2 linked regions of the Kluyveromyces lactis genome follow. The protein of the gene in region 1 interacts with the protein of each later gene in a pairwise test. Links are inferred from orthologs where the notes say so. Each region holds a gene or a part of one and is shown in the gene's direction. Other genes may lie near its edges.

Region 1 (3,810 bases):
TTACGTAGATGGTATCATAAATTGAAATGAATTACTTAACGACGGTTGTTATTAATAAAATAAACAACAGCTCTCAATCTATGTTATAAGAGACGCACAGAAAAATCGTTTGCAATGAACACTGGCAGCGAGATAGATTCACTCCGAGAAACTTCTCAATTTTTCGTCGTTGTATCTTAGGTAAGCGCCATCCAATTCAGAAGGAATCCCTTTGGAAGCTAAATTGGCATAAATGGTACCGGGAACGCTTGGAGGTAACAATTGGTCATTGTCATGTAAATCAACAAACCGTTGCAGGGCTTCCTTTGTCATACCACTAGGTCCAAAGGTTTCTCTGATATCCTCTTGCATTTTGGTTTTCACGACACCAGGCGCAACTGAGATTGCTTTAACAGCTGGCTCTTCTGCTGCAATTGTGGCAGCAAAGTGGTTCAATGCTGCCTTAGAAGCTCCATATGCACCCCATCCGTACTGATCATATATTTTCCACATTACCTTGGAAGCAGGTAGAGTTTTGGGAACTATTTTGGTTAGTAAATCGGGTTCTGCCGTATGCCAATCCGGCTTTTCTTCGTTTTAGAATGAAATTTAAGGGTATACATACGTATGACTTTGTACTGGCACCTGAGCTGACAAGTACGATGTTACCGTTACTCTGTTTCAACAAGGGCAATGCGTGGCCGACCAAGGAAACAACACTGAAGAAATTGATATCAAACAACTGTTTCCACTTGGAAATATGTATATTATTAACATCTTCCACAGGATCCAAAACTCCCGCATTGGCAACAATACCATCTAGTCTCTTGTATTTCGACTCAATGAAATTGACAGCTTCAGTTATAGTTTCTTCATCAGACACGTCACCACAAATGTAATCAAACTTCCCACTGTATTGAGTTTTCAGCTCCTCAAGTTTATCCTTTGATCTTGCAATTCCTATTACGATTTTAGTCGTCTCAATAGAACATAACTTCTCCACAATGGAAGAACCAATTCCTCTAGAAACACCTGTCACTAAAAACACCTTTGACATTTCAATTATAATGGATCTACGATGGCTTAAACTAGTGCTGTTATTAATACCTATCTTCTTACAATGTCACACTTTCCTTCTCGTTCATGGTACAAAGGTTAGAAATTGCGATTAGAAAGTTTATATAGTTAACGGTTTTTCATAATGTATGTAAATAACGTACATGGGCATTTTCACGTTATTATAACCGGAGGATTATTGTGGGATTATAGCGGATAGAGAGTTCCATATATACTTGAGATTATCAAGATACACGACCACGCATGATCAGTTCAGCATCAGGCACTAACTGGAACCGGCCTGATTCCTTCAAAGGAACCCAGTGTAGAAATATTATCATTCATGGATATTGTAAGTTTGAAAACGAAGGATGCCAATTTAATCATGGAAACAGCAAAGAAACAGAGGGTCAAACAACGGACGAGGTCCCAACGCAGCGCTCAATGACTCCGCTTAACGTGAAGTTCAATGCTAAGACAAGTTCTAGTTTTACGCCAGGAAAATCTCCAGCTGTAAGGAGTCCAGACTTCTCTTCGCTTCCTGCATTTCAGCCAGGTGCACCAGTCAATGATCAACCAATGTTGGCAGATGGGCCACAGATCAGTGGAACGATGAGTCCTAGCCTTATGAACTCGAATGCAACGGCGTTTGCTCCGTCATTCAATCCGTATGCCTCAGAGAGTTTTACTCCATCAGTGTCAGCAGGTGGTATCCCTTCCTCACAGGAACTGGCAGGGACACTACATGGCTCCAACCCGTCTATCCCATCACCTGTGCCTTCGAATCCTTATGTGAATAGTGCGGGTTTGCCCTCAGGCGGCATGCTAGGAGTTGGTCATCCCATGCAAGGATTACCTCCACCACCACCACCCGGTGCATTACCAGTAAATCCTATCACTCAGTTTCCAACAGTGTACCCACCAACACATTCTGTATTGCAATATCACTTATATGCTCCAGATCCACCACCACACCTGAAAATACCGCTTAAACCAAACGAGCGAACTCCCGAAACTTTGTTCATTAACAACCATTTGAGGGATAGATTAGTCAAAAACAATCAAACTGCGCTTCAGGTGTTCCCTAGAGGTTCCTTACCGGATATCGTTGGTGATTACTTTGGATTGGTCCCCATGGATTTCCATAATAGAACATCTGATAAGAAAAGGTACAATGGTCACAAGAATTCCTTGTACAAGGTGTTTTCAAATCTTGACGGTAAGATTTATTTCATGCGCCGTATTCATGACGTCAAAATAACTGATTCTGCCCAAGTGTCTAAACCTTTCCAAACTTGGAGTCACCTGCGTTCGGCAAATATCACTGTTTTGAAAGATTCGTTTGTAACGTCTGCGTTCAATGATAGCTCGTTGTGTATGGTGTTTGATTACTACCCTCAATCACAATCGTTGTACGAAACTTATGGGCTTGCCAATTCAGTTAACGAATTAAATCAAGAGTACTTATGGGCATTTTTGGTACAATTGACAATTGCACTTCAAGAAGTCCATTCTAATGGACTAGCTCTTAATGATTTAGACTGGAAAAAAGTTATCGTAACTGGTGAACCAGGTAGAATAAAAGTAACTGATATCGGTGTCTATGACACGCTAAATTACCATCAAGAGGGGAGAATGTTACATACAGAACAGCAACAGAATTACTTATCACTTGCCGAGTTATTATTAAACCTTGTTCAAAGGCTATGCGGTGCATCAGGCCCATTAGACGACGTAAAGTCCTACCACATAGATCCTTTATTCAAGAAATGTATTCAATACCTCCAGGATACATCAAACAACAACAAAAATATAGAGGACTTCACCAAACTTTTCAGCCATAAAGTTCTTTCAGTGGTAAATTCGTTACAATACAATAGCGAATACCTAGAGCAGCAACTTTCACGTGAATTAGAAAATGCAAGATTATTCCGTTTGATGTGCAAACTAAATGCAATTTACGGTAGGTTAGAATCACGTATCGACATTAATTGGGCAGAGTCTGGAGAAAAGTTTCCGATCATACTATTTTTCGACTATGTGTTTCACCAGAAAGATGACACTGGCAAAAATGTTATGGATTTGACACATGTCTTGAGATGTTTGAACAAACTAGATGCAGGCGTATCAGAAAGATTAATGCTTGTGACGCCAGACGAGATGAACTGCATCATAATAAGTTATAAAGAGCTAAAGGATTTGATCGATTCAACATTCAGAGCGCTAACACAATAATGTAAACATAAACTAAAATTATATAACAAACCCACCAAAAACAGCTGAAAAAACTTACATATACTACTACCCACTTTTCTTCCGATTTGCTCTTGCTTCCCAAAGGAAAGTTTAATAGATAGAACTTTACACCTTATTGCGTCTGCACATCACGTGTAACGGCACTGCTTTCCTACCTGAACGTCAACTTCCCAAGTTCGTTGGGACTTACTGATGTAAAATCTTGTAATCCTGACATCAGACCTCAACGACGTCTTTAACAACGGTCTTTTCCGACATTCAGATTTCAGAACCGTAAACACATTTCTTATCTAAAAACGAAAAGCTAAACAATGCACACAAGAAAGTAAGAGTAAATACGCACACAACGCGAAACAAGCATCGATTCGATACGCCTTCATGAGCTTCGGAGTAGACCCACTATGGTAAACATTTCGGTCTAGTGTTTGTCACTAAACATAGCGGTAATGTTACCTTGCGTGTTAGTTCGTCGGACATCTGCGCAAATTTGCACACAATTGCGACATATGTATTTTTGCA
Region 2 (3,847 bases), on another chromosome or scaffold:
CCGGTGCTGTGCATCTCGGTAGAAGAGTCGATTACTTATTCACTGTCCTAAGAGACGAAGCTAAGGGTCCCCAAACTGATCCATCTCACCCTGCCGGCTCTTCGTCAACCGGAACCACGACGCCTCAGCAAAACAAACGTAAACCAAAGAAGTCTGCTACTACTGCTGGGAACAGCAATGGGAACGAAAATGCCCATACCGCTGGTACCCCAAGTGACGGCAATAGTGTTAACTTAACCGGCAAGGACTCTACACCAGACAATAGCTCCGAAACAAAGCGTGGCAAGGCCCATCACCATCAACAACCATCATCAAGATCTGGTACGCCTGTCGTCGGATCGAAAAAACAGCAGAGGAAAGGTAAAGACATACCGTTGGCACCAAAAGCCGATATCCGTCTTCCTGACAAAGAATACGACAGTATGGACGAAGAAGAGTGTAAGAAAACGATGACAAACGTCCGTAGCTCACTCAAACGTCTAAGATCTGGAGGAGACGGTCTTGAACGTAAGCAATGGGCTAACCTATTGAAGAAGGAATTGAAACGTGTTGGTGACTACATCGAATCGCACAAGAAGGACTCGTCTAAGACCTCTCCAGAAAAATATAAAAGACATTTATGGTCTTTCACTGCATATTACTGGCCAAGAGATGTCCCATCTTCCAAACTCCTGGCGATGTACGACAAAATCAAAGCCTCTGAACATTAATTAGTCAAATGTAACAAAACATAGAGATATATACGCCTATCAATTTACGAAAAAAAAAAAGATATCTAATCAACAACATATTGCTATTAGTTATTATTACCTTCATAAATGACATGAGGCACAAGGGCGCACCAGAAACAGCCGGCTGCTAGTAAAATACCTGGTTTGTTGTGGTGATGCCTCAGATCATTTCGCACGTACCTACCTTTCCTTTTGTGGAAAAGCTTTAAACTCTTTTTCAACTCTTTAAATTTTTCAATGAAAATTTTCACTTTTTGGCTAACTCATCACAACAATTAAGGACTGTTCTCACAGAGATGGATGAATTATATAACGATTTTAAATAAGTTCTTGTGATGTTGTTTCATTTATTTAATTTGTTATAAGTTTTTAGTTATCTTGGTTAGTTTATACTGTTTCGTTTGTTACTTATTTGTATTACCTTTCTGGTTCAGTTATTGTAACATTTTATTTTGTGCAATTTGTTTGTTTAAAAAGACCACGGTCAAAGTCAGCAAACTCTCTAAAGGTATCATCTGTATCCTGTATTTTAATTGTTTTTGGTAAAAGAAAAGAATAAGCGTGGTTTATATCTTTTTAATATTAGTCAAAACATTCCAGTTAGAAGTCTTTTTGAATTCAAGTTAACTAAGGGTTTTTCATTTCCATCCATCGTTAAATCAAAACTTAATAGTTTCATCAAAGGTTCGCAACTGTGTGGGTATTAAACAAAACAATACACTAAAATACACATTAAAAAACCATAAAAAAACATATATTTTAAAAACACATTACAAAACCAACCAACCGCCATCTTTTTCGGTTAAATTTATCTCATCTCATCTCATCTCATAATGTCTGATATTACTGAAAAAACTGCTGAGCAATTGGAAAACTTGCAGATCAACGATGATCAGCAACCAGCTCAATCTGCCAGTGCTCCATCCACTTCTGCTTCTGAAAGCGAAGCTTCTTCTGTTTCTAAGGTTGAAAACAACAACGCTTCATTGTACGTTGGTGAATTGGATCCAAACATTACTGAAGCATTGTTGTACGATGTGTTTTCACCATTGGGTCCAATTTCCTCGATCCGTGTTTGTCGTGATGCCGTCACCAAGGCTTCGTTAGGTTACGCTTACGTTAACTATACTGATTACGAAGCTGGTAAGAAAGCTATTCAAGAATTGAACTATGCTGAAATCAACGGTAGACCATGTAGAATTATGTGGTCCGAACGTGACCCAGCTATCAGAAAGAAGGGTTCTGGTAACATTTTCATCAAGAACTTGCACCCAGCCATTGACAACAAGGCTTTGCATGAAACTTTCTCCACTTTCGGTGAAGTCTTGTCTTGTAAAGTTGCTTTAGATGAGAATGGAAACTCTAGAGGCTTCGGTTTCGTTCATTTCAAGGAAGAATCCGATGCTAAGGATGCTATTGAAGCCGTCAACGGTATGTTGATGAACGGTTTGGAAGTTTACGTTGCCATGCACGTTCCAAAGAAGGACCGTATCTCCAAGTTGGAAGAAGCCAAGGCTAACTTCACCAACATTTACGTCAAGAACATTGACGTTGAAACCACTGACGAAGAGTTCGAACAGTTGTTCTCCCAATACGGTGAAATTGTCTCTGCTGCTTTGGAAAAGGATGCTGAGGGTAAGCCAAAGGGTTTCGGTTTCGTTAACTTTGTTGACCACAACGCCGCTGCCAAGGCCGTTGAAGAGTTGAACGGTAAGGAATTCAAGTCTCAAGCTTTGTACGTTGGCAGAGCTCAAAAGAAGTACGAACGTGCTGAAGAATTGAAGAAACAATACGAACAATACCGTTTGGAAAAATTGGCTAAGTTCCAAGGTGTTAACTTGTTCATCAAGAACTTGGACGATTCCATCGATGACGAAAAATTGAAGGAAGAATTCGCCCCATACGGTACCATCACCTCTGCTAGAGTCATGAGAGACCAAGAGGGTAACTCTAAGGGTTTCGGTTTCGTTTGTTTCTCTTCTCCAGAAGAAGCTACCAAGGCTATGACCGAAAAGAACCAACAAATTGTTGCCGGTAAGCCATTGTACGTTGCCATTGCTCAAAGAAAGGATGTCAGAAGATCCCAATTGGCTCAACAAATTCAAGCCAGAAACCAAATCAGATTCCAACAACAGCAACAACAACAAGCTGCTGCCGCTGCTGCTGGTATGCCAGGCCAATACATGCCACAAATGTTCTATGGTGTTATGGCCCCAAGAGGTTTCCCAGGTCCAAACCCAGGTATGAACGGCCCAATGGGTGCCGGTATTCCAAAGAACGGTATGGTCCCACCACCACAACAATTTGCTGGTAGACCAAACGGTCCAATGTACCAAGGTATGCCACCTCAAAACCAATTCCCAAGACACCAACAACAACACTACATCCAACAACAAAAGCAAAGACAAGCCTTGGGTGAACAATTGTACAAGAAGGTCAGTGCCAAGATTGACGACGAAAACGCCGCTGGTAAGATCACCGGTATGATCTTGGATCTACCACCACAGCAAGTCATCCAATTGTTGGACAACGACGAACAATTTGAACAGCAATTCCAAGAAGCCTTAGCTGCTTACGAAAACTTCAAGAAGGAACAAGAAGCTCAAGCTTAAACTTGATTTTTTGACCTTGATCTTCATCTTGTCCTTTCTATATCTTTCCCCCGAAGAAAAAGAAAAATTAAAAAAAAAAACGAACAGCTAACTATATGAATAGTCTCAGCTTCACGCATTGGAACTGGGTGGTGCTAATTAGCTTACGCATTGTTATAGACCTAAACTAGTCGAAATAAACTACTTTCTGCCACTCTTCTTTTTCTCTCGCTTTTTTTTTTTTTGTTCATCACAGGCTTTCCATTGTTGCCAAAAATGTTGTGCTTTTAATCTTTACCAATAAAAAAAATTACCACGCTCCACATATACCATATTACCACAATCCATCACATCACTCTACCCTTTCTCCATACCGCTAATTCAATCCGGAGGTATGCCCCATTTTTCTCTTCAAATTTTTTCTTACTGATTTTTTCTATCTAACTATTATTGTTACTCTACCCGTTTTATATAATACTAAAGCTCTAATGGGAGGACATTAGTAGTCTTTTTAATGAAGAGGTT

The links. The genes of interacting proteins can lie anywhere in the genome.
Region 2: the proteins of PAN3 (region 1) and PAB1 interact in binary tests that used the Saccharomyces cerevisiae proteins (3 or more experiments, as listed by UniProt). The link is inferred for Kluyveromyces lactis from reciprocal best matches to the Saccharomyces cerevisiae genes PAN3 and PAB1.

Annotation. Positions count from the first base shown.
Region 1 is NC_006041.1:725,757-729,566, forward strand, and holds PAN3 (PAN-complex poly(A)-binding subunit PAN3), read left to right. Parts: upstream 1-1,299; coding exon 1,300-3,270; downstream 3,271-3,810. Other genes in the region: KLLA0_E08075g (SDR family oxidoreductase), read right to left, coding at 139-495, 605-1,036.
Region 2 is NC_006039.1:1,551,758-1,555,604, forward strand, and holds PAB1 (polyadenylate-binding protein), read left to right. Parts: upstream 1-1,564; coding exon 1,565-3,343; downstream 3,344-3,847. Other genes in the region: chromatin-remodeling ATPase CHD1, read left to right, coding at 1-710. UniProt on the Saccharomyces cerevisiae protein: Binds the poly(A) tail of mRNA. Appears to be an important mediator of the multiple roles of the poly(A) tail in mRNA biogenesis, stability and translation.